Saccharomyces cerevisiae S288C: one gene and its partners. The gene in region 1 interacts genetically with each later gene. Each region holds a gene or a part of one and is shown in the gene's direction. Other genes may lie near its edges.

Evidence for each region. Genes that interact genetically often act in the same process or in processes that back each other up.
Region 2: mutations in RPL43B (region 1) and TMA20 together harm fitness more than expected from each alone (negative genetic interaction), as found in Saccharomyces cerevisiae (2 studies listed by BioGRID).
Region 3: of RPL43B (region 1) and MPT5, a mutation in one rescues a mutant of the other (synthetic rescue), as found in Saccharomyces cerevisiae (one study listed by BioGRID).

Annotation. Positions count from the first base shown.
Region 1 is NC_001142.9:603,508-611,287, forward strand, and holds RPL43B (60S ribosomal protein eL43 RPL43B), read left to right. Parts: upstream 1-4,797; coding exon 4,798-4,799; intron 4,800-5,074; coding exon 5,075-5,351; downstream 5,352-7,780. Other genes in the region: cleavage polyadenylation factor subunit FIP1, read right to left, coding at 1-696; transcription factor IME1, read right to left, coding at 1,062-2,144; SFC1 (Sfc1p), read left to right, coding at 6,266-7,234; YJR096W (aldo-keto reductase superfamily protein), read left to right, coding at 7,688-7,780.
Region 2 is NC_001137.3:163,216-168,811, reverse strand, and holds TMA20 (translation machinery-associated protein 20), read left to right. Parts: upstream 1-1,926; coding exon 1,927-1,937; intron 1,938-2,040; coding exon 2,041-2,575; downstream 2,576-5,596. Other genes in the region: GTP-Rho binding exocyst subunit SEC3, read left to right, coding at 1-1,004; PAC2 (Pac2p), read right to left, coding at 2,729-4,285; RNA-binding GTPase NUG1, read right to left, coding at 4,527-5,596. UniProt on the Saccharomyces cerevisiae protein: Involved in translation.
Region 3 is NC_001139.9:165,772-173,592, forward strand, and holds MPT5 (Mpt5p), read left to right. Parts: upstream 1-1,580; coding exon 1,581-1,583; intron 1,584-2,223; coding exon 2,224-4,800; downstream 4,801-7,821. Other genes in the region: YGL176C (uncharacterized protein), read right to left, coding at 5,644-7,308; ssDNA endodeoxyribonuclease SAE2, read right to left, coding at 7,514-7,821. UniProt on the Saccharomyces cerevisiae protein: RNA-binding protein involved in post-transcriptional regulation. Negatively regulates expression of HO by binding to the 3'-UTR of HO mRNA. Predominantly binds to mRNAs encoding chromatin modifiers and spindle pole body components.

The DNA of each region.
Region 1 (7,780 bases):
GCCCATTAGGATCCTCCTAGGATTATAATCTTGTTGTAGTTTTTCCTGTCTATGTAAATACTCCATCCAGGTAAATTCGTTAAAACCGTAATTGAAATAATCACTTAAGTTGGCCCCCGGTTGCCTCCAGGGTTTCTCCTTTAATACTTCAGGATCTATTGTCGTTATGCCAACACTATCAAAGATTCCCTCTTTATCCAGGTCTATAGAACCAGTCATTGCTTTCGGTACATTTCCATCGCTCTCTGTAGCTTTTACGGTCGTTGCCGTTACACCTTGATTTGCTTCTCCTTCTGTTATTAGTCTTTCATCTGATGTCTTTGTGATGGTATTGGATACATCTGTAGCTACGCTAATTACGTCTTTGCTTGAAGATGTCGCTGCGGTAGAATAAGAATCGAGTAGTTTTGCATCTAACCTAGTAGGGTCAGGACCCAGACTTATGATAACCTCTAGGTCAGAATCACTATCGTCATCTGAGGAGTCAGAGTAGATATCTTCATCAGAACGATCATCTCTGGCAGTAGCTGGAGTTTCTTCCACGGGAGAGTCGAATTTTTGCCTTTTAACTATATCAGGATTACTGGACGCACCTGCGTCTGCTTCATCATCTCTTGATCGTTTAGATGAAGGTAGTGCTAATTCGGAGTCGGAACCATACAAGAACTTGTCGTCTTCGTCTTCACTGGAGCTCATTTAGAGAAATGCTAATAATTTTAGTGTAGGCAAAAGGAATAAGAATGCAAAGCACGATGGTGCGGTTTAACAAAGTGAATTTGGTGATGTACTCTCTCAAGATTTATGTCGCATTATTCGCTACGAAGGTTTTTCAAGATTAAAACGAATCTCCTTTCCCATCGCGACATACGATAAGGCTAATAACGCTACGGTATTATGTCATGGAGCTTGAGACATTGAATACATATATATACCTATATATAATATATATATATGCAAATACACAAATTCTTAGCAATTTGAGTGAGACAATGGAAATAAAGAAATGAGTGTGAATGGATATATTTTGAGGGAAGGGGGAAGATTGTAGTACTTTTCGAGAATTAAGAATAGGTTTTACTAAACTTGTAGGATATTTCTTGAAACCTGACCTTGTCATAATAATCTTGATCATTAGAACTGCTGAAGGAGTAAGCCGCAGCATATCTTGACAGTTTGGAGTTCAACTTTTTTAGGAATTCTAACTCTTTTGAATTTAATTTTTGTAGTGATGGCGGTGGTGATTTTTCAACGTCGAAGGCAATTTCTAATGGGTAATAGTAGGAGGGCACCTGAGGTTCATCTATAAATGGATCTGCCTCATATACATTATCGGAGGCGTTGTTATTATTGCTGGTATTATTATAGTAATTACAATTAGTGCTTTTATGGTTGCTATAGTGACGATTATTAAAGGAATGTATGTTATCAGTATGTGGTGGAAACTGATCTTGATATTGGGAGTATGAATCCGTGTTTTTTGAATTTATTGATTCATGAATATTTGTGGGTTTTGAATAGGTATAATTAGTGGTATATGGGTAGAAGTCTTGTGTGTATGGGAATTCATTGAATTCAAAATTTTCTTGGAATATTTTGATATCTTTTTGTGCATTTGTATTAGTTTCATATTTTATTGTGTCACTAATATCGATATCATCTCCATTTCTGTTGCTCTTTTGAAAGTTATCATGGTTATTGAATGATGAGTGGAACGTAGATGCGGATTCATCATTAGAAAAAAGAGATGATAATGAAGAGGATCTGGTACTTTCAGAGCTCTTTTTTCCTCTTTCAGGACCAGTTGCCATTGTGCAGTCCTTCGTAGTTTTCGTTTCCTTGGAAATAGGCTGAGAATCAATATTTTCCAAATTCAGAAACTCTTCATTGAACAATATTTGAGGATTAATTAAATGAATTGGTTGTGTATGAACCAAGTTCTGCAGCTGAGATGAGGCAATTTTGTCAGACTTTTCAAAATGCCAACTTCTAGGGGAAATTGTAGATCCAAAAGAAAAACAAGGACGGTCTTCTTGATCGGTGGTTGTGTCATAATAAATGTTAGGTTGTTGTTGCTGTTCAAAAGGAAAGAGGAAGAAACCATCTTCTAAGGCAGCGTGAAGTTTTCCATGCATATCCGCTTGCATTTTGTTTGTGGGGAGAGGAATAGAAAAGCTTTTCTTTTATTATTTTTTTCCTTTTTCACCAGTAATGGGTGCCAGTAGGAATTTGTTTCTCTGTAGGTGACTAATGACAGTAGTATATTATGCTTTTAATCTTTAACAATACTACTGGTCGATTTATAATATGATAATGTAAAATAAATCGTAATAGGATAGTCGATGTTTGTATCTACTTCACGAAACAGTTATGGTATACGGTAGTTTAAATATCTGAAGAAGCAAAAATACCGAACTACAAGGGAAGCATTTTGAGAAAAATATTAAGATCAAAAGATAATTAATTTACCTTAAATACATAAAAGAGGAAAAGTAATATACAAGGTAAACAACAGGCAAGGAACAAGATCAAAAACGTCCGACCCCAATTTAGTAGTAAATTACAGTAAGAGAAAAAGGTATTGGGGCTGATACATATTAATTGTGCGTTGTTGTTGTTGTTTAATTTTAGATTGGCTATTATGAGTACACACAAAACGTTGTAAACGCAATCACCCATGGATAAGCGCTCCCTTTAAAATGCACTACGAAATCATTGATCTACTAACTTTAAACCGGACTTAAACCATCAAAGGGTGCTCTAGATCTCATCGATGTATTCTGATGCAGCCAAAATTGCGCAATCAATCACGTTTCCCGATATAGAAAACTAATTGGCTGTGTTACGTGGCTGGGGGTTCTGTAATTCCTTTCTTCCCCGGTGAATCATCAAGATTGGGCTAAGCGCCTTTGATCCTTTCCCTCGAAGACGGAAATGGGGCCGCAGGATAAAAAATGGTGTGTCTGTAATTCCGATTTTTTGCTTATGTAATCATGTAACTTTCTTCTAGTCCCTTTGCAGACATGCATGACACTTCCTTACCCGAATAGTGAGTTAGATCTGTGTTAGGATGCAGGATGGGCAGTTCAAAGGCTTTTCTTATCGTATCTTTACCTTTTCCTGTAACTAAGAAGGTTTTTGAGTGCATGTAAAGGCACATAAATGAAACTTTAATTCCCTGCGTATTTAAGACCCAAGAAGCCACCATGACGCTTCCTTGATGTTGTATCTACCCCCAATCCTGGCGCCCCCTCCTGCGGGCACGCATGCGCCTTTGATCCTTCCCCTCGAAGACGAAAAGTAAACAAAGATACGCACTTTTTTTCTCCAACGCAGTATTGAAGGTACCATCACATGCTTACTCACTTTGCGGCTGCTATAACACCGTGGCAGTGTAACGTTTTACCGTTTGTCCTTTGCTACCGCATTTTAAAGTGGTACAAGATGTTGAGAGAAAAGATTTCCTGCAGCCATGATTAGGAGAGGTAATAGCGGATGACATCAACGAATAAGCTTTATCCAGCGGCTTGTATAGTTCTGTGTACACAATTACTGCCGGGCTCTCTGAGCATTTGCGTTTCTCGGGCTAGCTTCATTACTTAGTAACTTCAAATTAATGAAATATTTAATTATCATGATTCCAAACAAAACTACTTTAATTTCAATCACATTTTTGTTATCTGCCTGAAACGATAGCTGTACGGGTACGTTCTTGATAAATAAAACTCAGTGTTTAAAACTCTCTTTTTACATCTGTTCGCCGATGATTGCTTGCTCGGAGGTACTAGTCATCGGAATTGAGGAAATTCCTTTTCTCCTTTGTTTTCTCTTTATCCCCGCGTAAATACGCGGAATGCCAATAATCAAGTACACATTCTTTCTCCAAGTTGGCCAAAAAATAGTTCAAATTCTTTAAACTAAGCGCTATTAATTATTATTAATTATATAAGTTTGAAAATATCAATGCAGGACCCTATTTCTTCACGAGGGTGTATCCAGAAACGGTTTCTTATATAGTGTTGGCGCTCACTTTTTTCCTACCCACGTCTATATATGCAACGCCTACTTGTTTTAATCAACATCACAATTTTATGCTTTTGAGGTACAGCAGTTAGCCGTACGTTTTCGGCAGTCGCTAAAAATGTAAGCGCGGCATTTACTGCCATTTAGTGGACTTCTTGAGGTTCTTTTGACATCCGCATTCTTGCAGCAAATACACCCCCACCCTTCTTTTATTGAGAATATCTACTGAACCTCCGTGAGGGAATACATTAATCAAATTACTCCAACACCATACGGGCCGTGGCGGAAAGAACAGCATGATATAGATAATATATGATATGAATTGATTTTTTTTTCTTTTTTTCTTGCGGCTGGTATGGTATTGTAAGGATGATAGTGCATTCTATGAGTGATTTTTGTGACGGTGACGTACGATCTCTATACCTTTTTAGCCGCCCATCTTCTGCCTTTCATTTTTATGCCAACCCTCCATCCATACATCCTTTTTAACCCATACATATCATTTAGATTATTGTTTTTTAATTTTTTTTTTATCAGATGTTGTTCATCGCGAAATTTATAATCTTTCGATTGAATCGCACTTGTCGTGCATAATGATAAATACCTTCCGGAGAGAAAACTCAGACCCACTGGGAAGTTCCTACCTGCCGAGTAAGACCAGCTTGAAAAATTTGAAATTTCAACTGAGAATCAGAATATATTACTGCCCTTCGTGTTGTAGGGTTATTCATTAACTATATACGATATTATAAACAGCATAGATAATCAAACAAAAAAATGTATGCATATAATAGAGGAATTGGATGACTAAATGTTCTTATATTGGAGTTAGTGGAGATGCGTGGTAGATTTGAATTAAATAGAAAGTGCTGGGGTTGATAAACCACGAAATATCGCAGTTGAGGAGAATGATAAGCCAGGATAGATGGTAGCGCATTTTTGGGGCAATCTCACTGTAGGTCCACCACAACTCAATATGACTACATCGAATCAGTTATAAGGCAAGTTTTTAGTTTACTAACAAATATTTCCATCTTATTTTTTTTTTTTGCAGGGCTAAGAGAACAAAGAAGGTCGGTATCACAGGTAAATACGGTGTCCGTTATGGTTCATCATTGAGAAGACAAGTTAAGAAGCTTGAAATTCAACAACATGCCAGATATGACTGTTCCTTCTGTGGTAAGAAGACTGTTAAGAGAGGTGCAGCTGGTATTTGGACTTGTTCCTGTTGTAAGAAGACCGTTGCCGGTGGTGCTTATACTGTTTCTACTGCAGCTGCCGCTACTGTTAGATCTACCATCAGAAGATTAAGAGAAATGGTTGAAGCTTAAACTTCTTTCATTCATTTTCTCTTGGCTTTCACTAGGTATATCTATTCCATAACGACTATGTTTTGTATTTGTTAATTTACATAAAACCATATCAGTACATCAACGAACTGTAAAAAAGAAACTTTAGCATAATTATTGCGGATATTTAAACTCACTTGCAGGTAAGAGCAAAAGGCGATTGATTTCCAGTCCGCCTCTTGTCACGTGATTTAGTAAGAAATTTTGACAGCACCCTCGGTTTAATGGAAAAGAGGGGCGTTTTTCGATGAACCCGAGGGGAGACTAGAGAATCATCTCGGTTGAATGGAGCATTATTTTTTTAGTAGCGCCCGCCCGGAGAAATGGACGTTGGCGAATGAGCCATGAATTATTAACCGCCCATGTCTACCAGATACCACATCGTATGACAGTACCAGCCTAGTCCCGGTAAACCGCAAACGGACCTTAATTGTGACGAAGGGCCCAAATTTGATGGGTCGGTGTTAATGATTAGTCCTCATTGTCATAATAAAGTGTGATGATGGAGGCAATGATGATATACGGTAGTACTACTGCTCGAGGTGCTATCTTTTAACCAATCCTTTGAGATTCTTGTCGCCACGGAGTTACTACCTTTTACAAACCGTAATGTCACATTTTGCATATATCTTATGTATAAATATATAGTTCACTTACTACTTGTTCTCGTTTTGTTAACTTTCTTGTTGTAGTTCTTCTTGTTCTTGGCGTTTCCCCCTTTGTTTTCTATCTGCTTCATAAGTAAAGTGCAAAGCATTTTGGAAGATATTATCAATTGAGTCATTGAAAGAAACTTGGCATCTTCCCTATTACTAAAACTAAGAATACTTGATTCAAGAAAGAAGTTTATATTAGTTTTAGCCGTAAGATAACATAACAAAGAAGAAGAAAGAAAAATGTCTCAAAAAAAGAAGGCTTCCCATCCAGCCATCAATCTCATGGCTGGCGGCACAGCAGGTTTATTTGAAGCATTGTGTTGTCATCCTTTAGATACAATTAAGGTGAGAATGCAAATATACAGACGGGTAGCTGGTATTGAACATGTTAAACCCCCAGGATTTATTAAAACTGGGCGTACCATTTATCAAAAAGAAGGTTTCTTGGCTCTGTATAAAGGTCTAGGTGCTGTGGTCATCGGTATTATACCTAAGATGGCAATCCGTTTCTCGTCTTATGAATTCTATAGAACCTTATTGGTTAACAAGGAATCAGGAATTGTGTCTACCGGTAATACTTTTGTTGCTGGTGTTGGGGCTGGTATCACCGAAGCTGTTCTTGTCGTGAACCCGATGGAAGTTGTAAAGATTAGGTTACAAGCTCAGCATTTAACTCCGAGTGAGCCAAATGCTGGTCCTAAATATAACAACGCCATTCATGCAGCCTACACTATTGTCAAAGAAGAAGGTGTTTCTGCCTTATATAGAGGCGTTTCCTTAACTGCGGCAAGGCAAGCAACTAATCAGGGTGCTAACTTCACAGTTTATTCTAAACTGAAGGAGTTTTTGCAGAATTACCATCAGATGGATGTCCTACCTTCATGGGAAACTTCTTGCATAGGTTTGATTTCGGGTGCTATTGGGCCGTTTTCCAACGCTCCATTGGATACTATAAAGACAAGGCTGCAAAAGGATAAGTCCATCTCATTGGAAAAACAGTCCGGTATGAAGAAAATCATAACCATTGGTGCTCAACTACTGAAAGAAGAAGGTTTTAGAGCTTTGTACAAGGGTATTACCCCAAGAGTGATGAGGGTGGCTCCAGGTCAGGCTGTCACCTTTACCGTTTATGAATATGTAAGGGAGCATTTAGAAAATTTGGGTATATTCAAGAAGAATGACACACCAAAGCCAAAGCCATTAAAGTAGATGATGAACAATGGGACTACAAAATGAAATAAAGAAAAAATAGAAATAGGCTAGAAGATCAATTATTAATCGCCCTATTCTTCCTTATTACCTACACAAAATAAAGCAGCAACATAAGAAACAAAAACAAAATGAAAACAAACCAAATAAATCTATGTAAGCATACTCATTTCAATTTGATATTCATTACTTGACTTTTTTGTCCTTATTTGAGGCTCCATAAGCGCGCCATTTTTCCCTACTCCCTTTTTTCGTAAATAGTAATAATGTGCTGAAAAGAACAATGAAGTAGTTATCATACATATTCCGTCGTGTCGATATGAGGGGAGGTGTCTCTTTCTTTCATCCCTTGTCGCAACCTCCAATATATAAGAGCATAAGCAACTGATCTTACTTTAGTAATTAACTTAGCATACCTAGCCCGAAGGAAGAAAAAAAATTCACCTCAACAACATGGTTCCTAAGTTTTACAAACTTTCAAACGGCTTCAAAATCCCAAGCATTGCTTTGGGAACCTACGATATTCCAAGATCGCAAACAGCCGAA
Region 2 (5,596 bases), on another chromosome or scaffold:
GGCTGTCCTCATATTTTGTAGAATTAGTGAAAGCCGAACCAACGGTAGCCCCAGCCTTAACTTTTTACTTGGAGAATGAAATTAAAAGCTTAGAATCATCCAACCATGAATTTTTATTGTCTGCAGTGACTAGAATGTACACACAAATAAAACAAGTGTGGTCTGATAATGTAGAAGAGCAGGTTTTGCACTTCGAAAGAATTTCTAACGCAACCACCAATGGAGAAATTCTTCCAGGTATACTTGATTTACCAGTAGGCTTGAAGAATTCAGAAGATTTGTTCCAATTTGCTAAGAGGTCTATGGATATTAAAGATACCGATGAAGGCTACGAGTCCATCGAATTAATGAATTCGAGCTTCAGGAAGCTAAGCATAGCTGCCACACGATCGATAACTCACAAAGAAGTTAATTCAAGCATTAATCCAAACCTTTCAGATACTGCTGCTTTAAATAATGACTATATGGAAACTATTTCTCTCCTAGTGAACAGTAACTGGCTAACTGAAATGCTTTCCATGTTAAACTTCAATAAGGATGGTATATTTGATACGTCATTGCAAAACGTTAAGAAAGTTTTCGATGTGGAAAAAGAATCTTATGCTTCCTTTCTACTCCGCGATACTATGCCTAAACTAACAGCCTTTGTTTATGGTGTGAGCAACATCATTGAAAATACCAACAATGTGAACATGACCAATCCTTCAAGATGGGCCGCATATAGCAGGCAGAACCTAGAGAACATTCTTTTAGCATACACTTCCCATGAAATTGAAACTCTAGTAAAAAGGCTGCACACTCATATGGTAAATGACTTCGGTTACCACCAAGAAAATGCCATAAACAACGTCCTATGCGATAAGTTGTGGTCGTGCATTCAAGGTCAAACCGTCTCACTATACTTGAAACTATACACTGTAATTGATAAACACTATAGAGGGACAAACATACGCTTCACGAAGAACGATATCATAAGTGCGTTCGAGGAATACAAGAATGCCTAAGTAACCTCTGCATTGTCGCTTCATATTACATATTTAGACTAATTAAGTAAATATTTTGATAAATTTCAATTTCAAATATCGTGTAAAATGATATATTAGTTTTCGAATTTTTTTTTCTGAATATAAAAGGAACAGAATATTAGTTAGCTTCATTGTCCAATTACTATTGTTACTTACGTTTAATGCATTTTCTTTTCTTTCACTTCCTTCCTTAATACTCCATCCTTATGCACGGGAAATACGCATATCAGTGAGGATTCGTCCGAGATTGTGTTTTTGCTGGTTGAAATTTAATTATAAACCAGACCGTCTCCTCATGGTCAATTCGGTGTTCGCTTTTGAATACTTCAAGACTATGTAGGGAATTTTTGGAATACCTTTTTTCATTACCGATATTCATTCTTTCAAAGGGACTGTTTATTTTTCTTTGGAAGTAATATCAAAAAATAGGTTAGGGATACCGGACTGAAACATTCAATTGAGGGCCCAACCATATTTTTCTTTTCTTTTTCACCGAATTCTCTAATGTGAGTTCACGTTATAGAAGCTGGAATTGTAAGTAATACAGAAATGGCAACTAAAATGGTAGGCATGAGTGTTCTCCTTCTTGTGTGTCTTTCTTTTCACCCGATACAGTAAACTTTGTATAGGAGAGTTGACCAATTACCTGACAGTGCCGTCTATAAACGAGACCTCAACTTCACCTCAAAAACCATAATTTTATCTATTGATAATTATCATTATGGTCATTTTCCACTAAATTCATAGTTACCTTACTCTTATGCTTTGTATTTGTAGGTGTAAAAATGACGAAAAATTTAATTATCTGAAAAATTATTGTGTGAAAAAACTTGATTTTGCTATAACCTTATGTAAAACCATATAAAAGACAAAGACGGTAAACTAAAACAGCAGAGAGGAAATGTTTAAGAAGTATGTCTAACATGAGAATGAATATTGCGTAATTCACTGGTTTTACCAGGGGTTAGTGTACACTTTTGACTCAGTAAGCAATTACTAACATCATCATCGATAGATTCACAAGAGAAGATGTCCATTCACGTTCAAAGGTCAAATCTTCAATTCAAAGAACGTTAAAGGCCAAATTGGTCAAGCAGTACCCCAAAATAGAAGATGTTATTGATGAATTAATTCCTAAGAAGAGTCAAATCGAGTTGATTAAATGTGAAGATAAGATCCAATTGTATTCCGTCGATGGTGAAGTTCTTTTTTTTCAAAAATTCGATGAACTGATTCCAAGCCTGAAATTAGTACACAAATTTCCAGAGGCTTATCCCACTGTTCAGGTTGATAGAGGTGCTATTAAATTCGTTCTCTCAGGTGCTAATATCATGTGCCCTGGCCTAACTTCTGCGGGTGCCGACTTACCACCTGCTCCTGGTTACGAGAAAGGTACGATTGTAGTCATCAATGCCGAAAATAAAGAGAATGCATTGGCTATTGGTGAATTGATGATGGGTACTGAAGAAATTAAATCAGTGAACAAAGGTCATTCCATAGAATTGATTCACCATTTGGGCGACCCCTTATGGAACTTCAGCGTTGAGTAACAAACGGAGCCGTCAACACTATATTACTATCCATCTGCTACATAATAAAATAAAGAAACTAAGAAAAAATTAGAATAACATCCGCTTACAATCTAAAAGGCTGTTTCCTGATTTTTAAATATGCAACTAGCCAAGATTAACTATATACTGTGATTACGATGGGCTGTTAACCTTCTGAATGCTCTTGTTATTTACTGGAGACGAAACATGAATAATATCTCCGTTCACAACATTAAAATCTGAAATGGGGCGAAAATTATACTTTATTTCGTTTATCATCCCTTCAGAATTTTCATGAAATAACTTAACATTCAGTATGTCAAAGTTTAGCTTTCGACATATTACACTCTTAACGTACCTTACTGTAAAACTGGGAAGGACCCAATAATCTAAATCACTACTCGGCTTCTTGCCAGCTCTTATCTTTATTTTTAAGACAAGAGATTGCCGTGTTTCTCTTTCATTGTTGAAACTTAGCTTACTCATATCGATTTCATACGACTTTATGAGGCTTGACCAACGCGGCAGATTGGTGTCATAGCTCAATTCGTTATTCATTACCTTGGAAACAAAAAACATCTCAGCCTCTCTTCTTGTTTTTACATCACATATTGATCCATTCAATACCATCACACGATCAAACCTAGCCAGTACTTCATAAAAAGTAGCCTGTTCTTCGACGTTAATATAATTTCCGTTGTAGTTGAATTCGTTGCCACTCAGATGGATATTTTTCAAAGAGGGAAATGTCTTATTCAAATCATCTATCAAACTTCTTTCCTTAAATTTGTTATCTGTTATATCCAAGGATTCAACAGAATAAATAGCAATACTTGGTGCTCTAGAAATTTGATTATTGGAGACATTTAAACCTTTCAATGTCAAATTTTTTGGAAACAATGGAAACGATATAAGATTATTTCCGCTAATATTCAGTTCCTCCAAAGTACACGGTATTTCATTCTCAAAATTTTGGATTCCCGCACTGGTCAAGTTGTTATAGCTTAAATCCAACATTTTCAGTGTCCTGAAGCTTTTGAGCAGCTTACCAATATGTTTATAACTTAAACCACAGGAAGACAGACGTAAAGTTTTGATGTGTGATAGGTCATATTCTTTCAAGTTGTCCCAACCGCTTAAAAGTTTATTTTGAGATATATTAAGGCTCTCCAAGTTCTTCAAAGGTTCTATGAACTCACATAAAGAGTTGATATTCGTGAATAGATTAAGCGATAAATCAAGGTCCTTGACGTTCACACAATTTTGTATTACACGGTTTAACTCATCTTGATTTTGAAACAATATAGCGACATCGGAATCTCGCAAAGCTATTTTTCTTAACTTCTTATAATTCTTATTTCTCGCATTTAGTTCATCGAATCCCAAACCCTCAACCCTTTTGTTACCTATAGATAGGTCATTAATGTTATTACTCGAGCCTCCATACTTTTCTGACAATGCTTCGTAAAACGTAATTCTGCGTACACCTGGAGATTTAATCTTAGACTCCTTCAAAAATGATCCTGAATTAGGAATTTGAACGTCAAAATAGTGTATGTCATCTATTGTTCCAGAATGTTTTCCCCGGCTGTGATCGTCCCATTCCACCCCATAAGCTTTTACCGAAGGCCACGGCTTAATAACACCTATGAATTTGATGGTGCAAAAATATCCACCAATCTTGAGTCTGTCCCCAATTTCATAAGTCATGCTATCTCTGAAATTCGTTTTGCATTTTATATTTTGTATATCTTATATATGAAACATAATAAAAGTTGGAACTTTTTAATGATTTCTTTGTCCAAAGAGCAAAAAGGCAGTAAAACTAAAAAAAATAAGATGTATAGTAATGAGTTTAAAAGCACACCTATAATTTACAGTAATGTTATTTGATGATAAAGAAAAAATAAGAAACACCCCTTACATAAAAATAGCCTTACATATGACTTATTTATTCCATCATTGTATCTTGATCTTTGCTAGCATCTATGGCCTTGTCAAGAGAGCTAAATAATCCATCCAAATCAAATTCTTTGGACCACTCGGATACAATGGTGGATTCATTTGCTGCAATTGGAGCTTGTTTAGTGCCAGTGTTTATAGTACTTAGATTTTGTTTATCTTGTTGAGATGCAGCTGCCGATGTATTTGGTAAAACCCAACCAAGAATTTTACCATCCCTCCAGTCATTAAGTACCGAAAGACCAGCACTGGCAAGATTTGGAATACCGCCTTTCCCTAATCTACCTCTTTTACGAGCGACGTGAATTAAGAAATGTTTTGTAAACGTATCTGCATCATTAGCAGGAATAGGAGGAATTTCATACAGCTTTTTAAAGCTCTCTGTCATTTCATCTGATTTAGCTAGTCTCTTTACCAACATTAAGACAGCTGGATACGGATCAACAATGTGTTTTGCCGGTAGAGCATTTAGAAGAGCTAATTCAGCTTCATGTTCAACTTTCGATCTTTTCTTATTTTCGCTTGGGAAACATATACCAGGAGAATCTAGAATCTTCAACTTGTTGTCGATTTTGATCTCTCTCAGAGAGGTAGTAACACCTGCTTCATTACCGACTGGGCAAGCCTTTGATTGACCTCCACGGCGCGCCAAAAGAGCGTTGATAACAGATGATTTACCAACATTTGGATAACCGATAACACCCACTACAATAGATCTCTTCAAATTGCTGTTATTAGAGTAAGTTTTCAGCGACTCTAGCAGTGCACTTGCAGTAGTGGTTTGGCTTAGCTTTCTGTTGAAAGAAGTTCCGTTGACTGCACCAGAAGAAGCTCTTAATGGGATTGTAGGAAAACTAGACTTTAAGTAATTTAACCATTGTTCCAATACATGTGGGGGAATTAAATCAACTTTGTTCAGTATTAAAATCAGCCTTTTACCCTGACTTTGTAAGACGGCTTCTTCCACCTTTCTTGATCTTGTACTCTCTGGATCTCTGGCATCCAAAACATATAGGATGACATCAGAAGCATCAATAACGGATTTGAAAATCTTGTCAT
Region 3 (7,821 bases), on another chromosome or scaffold:
AGTTAAAGCCTCAAGTGCATTGATAATCTCCTGACCCTAGGTCGTCTTTCGCGTGGGCTATCGCCACCTAAGGAAAGGATTAAATGGAGCAAGTATTGGAAATGTAAAGAAATTGCAGAATGTTCTGATTACTTTTCATCACCCAAAGAGTCCATACTACCACTACCACCAACCATTGCCGGTGAGCGGTTTCTTGCTCATTAACATGACGTACAAGGGAACGGAATGTCCCTTGTACGTTGTAATGTCTTTTGCTCTCGTAAAGAAGCCTATACACGCCCCTTCCTTCCGCCCTTCGGCATCCGCTGCCAACTGGGTGGGGGCTCAATGGATCTCTTTACTCTGGCCCTTAGAAGCCTTCTGAAATTCTCGGCTTAGGCATCGAACGATGAAGAAACTAACTAAAAATATACGCCATTTTTTTGGGGAGGGGGGGCCGCACTGAAACGCGAAATGCCAAAAAAACGCGAAACGCCGCAGTAAAAGGTCAGTACCGCGCAAAAAATACAAAAATGACAACAATATTGGCCTTTCTTTTCCTAAAGCAATTAACTGGAAAGCGAGGTTCTAAACATCTGGCCAACCCCTAAATTTTTAATAATTCCGAAGCGGGATATATTGCATCTGGCAATCTGAAAAGCAATAGAAAGAAGCGGCCTAGTACTGCATAGTGAGTGATAAAATATACATATTAAGGTTGGGGAAATGGTACGCGCTTTCAAGTAGCTAGAAAGATCTGAATGTTCTGAAGTACGGTTTGGATTTATACGCGGTTATTTCCTGGACTAGCTTAGAGCCAATTAATACTGACGATTGCCTCTTTTTCTTTACCGTTTATGTATGCTGTATGCCCTTTTCATGTATAAAAGAAGGGTAATTTAAAAAAGTTTATAATCATCCAGATTCCTTATTTTTTTTCTTCTTTCGCCAGGTGTTTTACCCAGCTAAGACTAACCTTGTGGTTCAGATTACACTAGTATTGCCGTCCGATATTACAATTCTGAAATCAGTTTTCTTGTGATCATTCTTTTTTTCTCTCTTGCCATTCTTAAACGTGGCCTACAAGAACTCTTCTTCTTTCCTGGTTCGCATCTGTGTTAAACGTATAGATTTTCTTACATAGAGGCCTAAAAAGCATAATAGGTGGTTTCCTTTCAATATATATCTGAAACATTGAATATACTGAACACAATTCACATTTCAAAACCTTGGGTACTGTTGAGTCAACATCAAGATCAGCCTATTTCATAATTTACTTTATCTTTTCACACAAAAAGAGAACAGGTAAAAAAGAACAGATCTGCTAGCCCCGAGAAGATCATTGACACATCATTGATTGGCAAGTTAAGTAATAAAAGAAAGGTAATAACATCAAGAAGTCAAGCGCCTTGAAATTACTAGATTTGGACTACGGATCAGCAAAAGCCTGCTACTACAACCGCCACTTTTACTATTCCTTAAGATAAAAGCTAAAAAACCAAAAAAAAAAAAAAAAAAACCTCCTCAACTCCTCTCCAACACATAGTAAAGCGAATTCTACGCAAATTTATAAATCAATTACGATTTTTCCAGTTTCTCTTATGGTATGTATTATCTCTTAATTCCCAATATTTTTCTTCGCCAATGGAGCATAAGCTTTAACGGGATCTTCTAACAACAAATAGCATAATAACCAAAAACCAGCTTCAGTGGGATCAGCCTATCGACACGCCTTTTTTAGCGGTCTAACAATCTCCGTTTATGTCGTATGGAATTTCTGATACTTGACCCTACCTTATTTCTCGAATATGCCTATAAGGATTTTCTCGAAAGAAGGGCTTCGGGAAAGAGGCGCCTCAGGCAAAAATGAGCAAAAAAAAAAAAAAAAAGAAAAGATTCGAAGATCTATGAAAAATTTATGCAGATTCGTTGAGAGTTATAAGGATTTTACTCTTTATGGTTATAGGTTTCATTCTAAAATCAAGCATAAATTTTGTGTTTTGTCTTCCTCTTTTCCTGTCCTCTTTTTTTGCCATCCTCTGTCGCCATTGAAGTCGAACTTTATAGATAGATTTACTCTTGATTCTCACGCATCTCAGGCCACCTGGACACTGTACATGGTTGTGATTGTTCTCTTTCTCAGTTATCGAAATTGATCCTAGGCTTATACTCCAAAATCGGCTCTGCACACGCCTTATTTTTGTGGTTTCACTTTACTAACACAACATTCTTTTATTCAATCAGATCAATAACGAACCATTTCCATCTGCCGACTCAGCATCGATTTTAACTACGTCTACATCAAATAACTCCTTAATGTCTTACAATCATCAGCCTCAACTATCTATTAACTCCGTCCAATCACTCTTGGAGCCCGTGACCCCTCCGCCTTTGGGCCAGATGAATAACAAAAGAAACCATCAAAAGGCTCATTCGCTTGATCTCTCTGGTTTTAATCAGTTCATATCATCGACACAATCTCCCTTGGCTTTGATGAATAATACATCAACATCGAATTCTGCTAACTCTTTTTCCCCGAATCCTAATGCTGCTAGCAACTCCACTGGGCTTTCAGCCTCAATGGCAAATCCTCCAGCCATTCTACCATTAATCAATGAGTTTGATCTGGAAATGGATGGTCCCAGGAGAAAATCAAGCCACGATTTCACGGTTGTTGCTCCTTCGAACTCTGGTGTCAATACCTCCAGTTTAATTATGGAAACACCATCCTCTTCAGTGACTCCTGCTGCATCTCTCAGAAATTTTAGCAATAGTAATAATGCTGCTTCCAAATGTGGAGTGGATAATTCGTCATTTGGTTTGAGTAGCTCAACGTCTTCATCTATGGTCGAAATCAGCGCACTACCCCTTAGAGATCTGGATTATATCAAACTTGCCACTGACCAGTTTGGCTGCCGTTTTCTTCAAAAAAAATTAGAAACCCCCAGTGAATCCAATATGGTGAGAGACTTGATGTATGAACAAATTAAGCCATTTTTCTTGGACCTTATTTTGGATCCGTTCGGTAACTATTTGGTTCAAAAACTATGCGATTATTTAACTGCCGAGCAAAAGACATTATTAATACAAACAATATATCCAAATGTTTTCCAAATATCAATCAATCAGTACGGAACTCGTTCCTTACAGAAAATTATAGACACTGTCGATAACGAAGTTCAAATCGATCTCATTATTAAGGGATTTTCCCAAGAATTTACTTCGATTGAGCAAGTGGTTACTTTGATAAACGATCTTAATGGTAACCATGTGATTCAAAAGTGTATTTTCAAATTCTCGCCATCAAAATTTGGTTTCATCATAGATGCTATTGTAGAACAAAATAATATCATTACCATTTCTACCCATAAACATGGTTGTTGCGTACTACAAAAATTACTAAGCGTTTGTACTCTACAACAAATTTTCAAAATTTCTGTGAAAATTGTGCAGTTCCTTCCTGGATTAATCAACGATCAGTTCGGTAATTATATCATCCAATTTCTGTTAGATATCAAAGAATTGGACTTTTACTTATTGGCTGAGTTATTTAACCGTTTATCCAATGAATTATGTCAACTATCTTGTTTGAAGTTCTCCTCAAATGTTGTGGAAAAATTCATTAAAAAATTATTTAGAATCATTACTGGATTTATTGTTAATAACAATGGGGGTGCCTCCCAAAGGACTGCAGTTGCTTCTGATGACGTGATTAATGCTTCTATGAACATTCTTTTGACTACCATTGATATATTCACAGTCAATTTAAATGTGCTAATCAGGGATAATTTTGGTAATTATGCGTTACAAACGCTATTAGACGTTAAGAATTATTCTCCTCTGCTTGCTTACAACAAAAATAGTAACGCAATTGGGCAAAACAGCTCTAGTACATTGAATTACGGTAACTTTTGTAACGATTTTTCATTGAAAATTGGTAACTTGATTGTCCTTACAAAAGAATTACTTCCAAGTATTAAAACTACATCCTATGCAAAGAAAATTAAGTTGAAAGTTAAAGCTTATGCAGAAGCCACAGGTATACCATTCACTGACATATCTCCTCAAGTCACTGCAATGAGTCATAACAATCTTCAAACGATTAACAACGAAAATAAGAACCCCCATAACAAAAATAGTCATAATCATAATCATAATCATAATCATAACCATGCTCACAATAATAATAACAATAATAATCAAAAGAGTCATACCCGTCATTTTTCTTTACCAGCTAATGCTTACCATAGAAGAAGTAACAGCTCTGTAACCAATAATTTCTCAAACCAATATGCACAAGATCAGAAAATTCACTCTCCGCAACAAATTATGAACTTCAACCAAAACGCATATCCCTCGATGGGAGCACCTTCTTTCAATTCTCAAACTAACCCACCATTGGTAAGCCATAACTCGTTACAAAACTTCGACAACCGCCAGTTTGCAAATTTAATGGCACATCCTAATTCTGCTGCACCAATCCATTCGTTCTCATCATCTAACATTACCAATGTGAATCCTAATGTTTCAAGGGGATTTAAGCAGCCTGGATTTATGATGAATGAAACCGACAAAATTAATGCTAATCACTTCTCGCCATACTCTAATGCAAATAGTCAAAACTTCAATGAATCTTTTGTGCCTCGTATGCAATATCAAACGGAAGGTGCAAACTGGGATTCAAGTTTGTCAATGAAGTCGCAGCATATTGGTCAAGGCCCATATAATCAAGTTAATATGAGCCGCAACGCTAGTATTTCCAATATGCCTGCCATGAATACCGCTAGAACATCTGATGAACTTCAATTCACTTTGCCATAATACTTTTTTTTCTTTCTTTTTCTTTCCTTCTTACTGTACAAATATTTTACGCAGAAATCAAAGACAAAAGAAAAATAAAAAATAAAAAATAAAAAATTCAACTAAGCAATGACGTCCTACTAAAGTCCCAAAATTTGAGCCGGAAAAAAATGGTAAAGCAAACTATTGCCATCTTTATATTTTGTATTCTGTTTCCGAACACGTATCCAAAATCCTCCCACTGCCTTTGCAGGGTTAGCATTGCTCCCTACCAAAATGATCTAATTTTTTTTTGAATCGTTTTTTGTCAACGATTATTTTTGTTTTAAATTCCTCATCTTCTGAACTTACGCCCAACTATTATTTAATTCATTCATTCATTAAGCAATCCATACGTCCATTCATTCATTCAGTTTTCTTTTTGTCTATTACTGTCATTTTATTTTCAAATCCAATTGTCCTTTAGGACACTAATGTGTTAAAATATCCATTCGCTCAAGCATTTTTAATAAATAGGAAAATACCGTTTGTTTTTCTTTGTCATTTGTATAAATTTTTCTACTGGTTCCTGTCTTGGTTGGCTTTATTATATTTAGGTTTAACTTGTACTAACAATGATACATATTTGTATATTTTATTATAATATCATATCTAACTATATCTAAAATCGTTGAACTATTCAGAATGGAATTGTACACCAAGAAGAATTATGCTATAACACCATAAGGTCATTACATTTGGGTTTTGACTGCTAATTAGTTCGAAGTCGGCGTTAAAATTTAAAGAATATTTATACATATGAATATGTATATGAATGCAAAGTATGCTAAAATATTTATAAAGCAAAAATCTCGGTGGGCTAAACTAGGTCAAAGCAGATGTTATGAAGATATTGGCCCCATTGTAGGGATCATCTTCTCTCCGAATTAAGATGCATATTTTTTGAGAAAGTGCTTCTTCAGGTATATCGTAAGGTGAAGTACTGCTCTCTTCACCTAGAGGTTCCACAGCATCAAACGGATTTACGTACCTTGGGGGTATGAAAGCCGAATGTAGGTGGATAGATTCAAACTGGAAGTTTTCTAACCTACAGTAGTTCTTCATACCTCCTATTGGATAGAGGGTGATATTTCCACCTTCGGATTTTTCGTAGTCAAGATTTCCAGATAAAGTGGTACAAAATACTTCAAAATCACCCTTTCCGTCCCTAGCGCTAGTTGAACCATAAATGAAGTAGCGCCCGTCATCCGATATCTCGAGTATTTCTGTATCCTTAGTCACGTTTAAGAACTTAGTTTTAAAAGATACAACCGGGATTTCGGTCAGAATGTCCTCCAGGAACGTATCTGCTATAACCAGTTGTTGCACATTCTCTTTGTCTGCCATTCCAGATATAAGTATTAGGCCTTTATTATTCAATGCTTTTATGGAAACAACAGATTTTAGGGAATTTCTGATAGGTTGATTTCGACTTTCTGATGTCATACCGTTGGTCTTGGAGTACTGTAATGTCATGTTTGTAATATTAGTGAAGACTATTGCCATTGAATCACCATTTCTGTAACCTAAATAAAACACACCGGTGTTCGTTTTTTTTAAAGGTGATAAAGCATCTTCTTGTAGACAAAATGATAGGGAAGTAATGTCACTCCTACTTTTGTGTTTTCTTGAGCTTTTGGCAGGAGAAAAGATATAGGGATTTGGAAAGGTTTCTGGAATCAAATCATAAAAATGACAACGATAATTTACGGTAATAATCAACGTGTCTCCAACAACAAGAGAATCATGGACTTGGCAATTTTCTTTGAGTTTGACCTGACGAATTTTGAGCAGTTTTAAGGAAGAAAAGTCTTGTAAAAAGATGGCAAAAGTATGCACGTTAGATCTGGTATTAACGTTGTGATAAAAATAATGGCTCGGCCCTTCCTTGATGGCAACTGTTCTCTCAAGTTTCATTGTTTTGAACACATCAGTTGGCTCGGACTTATATTTCAACATAGGATTTAATTCAGCCATGGAAAACCCCGTAAAGAAATTTTCTTCAGAAAAATTATCCAGGGATGAAAATCCTGCGACATAGCCCTTGTTTGTTGCAAATACTAATTTACTATGAAAACATCCTTCTTGAGTTACCAATAAAATACAATTTGCTAATACTCCTATCTGTATCCTGTGTGGAAAATTGAGTGATTTTACGTTAGCAGAACTATGTGAGTGATGACCTTCAGTGAGAGAATGCGATGCATACTGCATATTTAAACCAATCATGTACTTTTCATATGATAAAGGGCGAAAAGCCCTTTCCAACGGATTCAGAAGACTAAGCTTGTACTTTTGTAATGTTTGCTGACGTTTTTTTTTAATCATAGAAAATTTTTTATCGTAATTTTCCTCAACACATTGTCGCTTTATATTATCTTTTCTGTACTGGTTCGTCGTTCCCGTGGTAGAAATGCTTTGATTTTCAGATATGCGAAAATAACGTCGACGTTCTCTATCATAATAAAACCCTGGTAAGTTAGGTGTCATTTGTTTAACGTCCGTTAACTTCCCCTTTCTGCTTTACCAACTGCTGCTTATTTATTCGCCCTTTTTTGTTTTCCATTGTTGTTCATCTCATTGCCTTTTTTTATTTTTCAGTTTTTCCCATATGCCAACGAGGAAAAAAGCCCTTTCAACCATACCAAAAAAAATGTATTTGAAGTAATGAATAAAGAATGATGATCGCTGGCGTTTAACATCTAGCATATATCTGCAATAATTTATCACTCCAGAAGAAACATCCATCGTCAACAATTTGATTTAATTGTTCTCTTTTGAATACATATTCTCTCTCGTACGGTGGGATCTTGTTATTGCTTGCCATTAAAAACCTATATTTTGTCTTTCTTCTGATGATTTCCTGGGATTTCTTTTTGTCCTCGTTCCCTTCCTGAGTGGAGGGAAAATCCAGTCTTCCAAAACCTGGGGGGGATTTTGATCTATTCCTCAAGTTATCAAACGCAAATTCGTAGTCCGAATTTTGCGATTCTATAACTACTG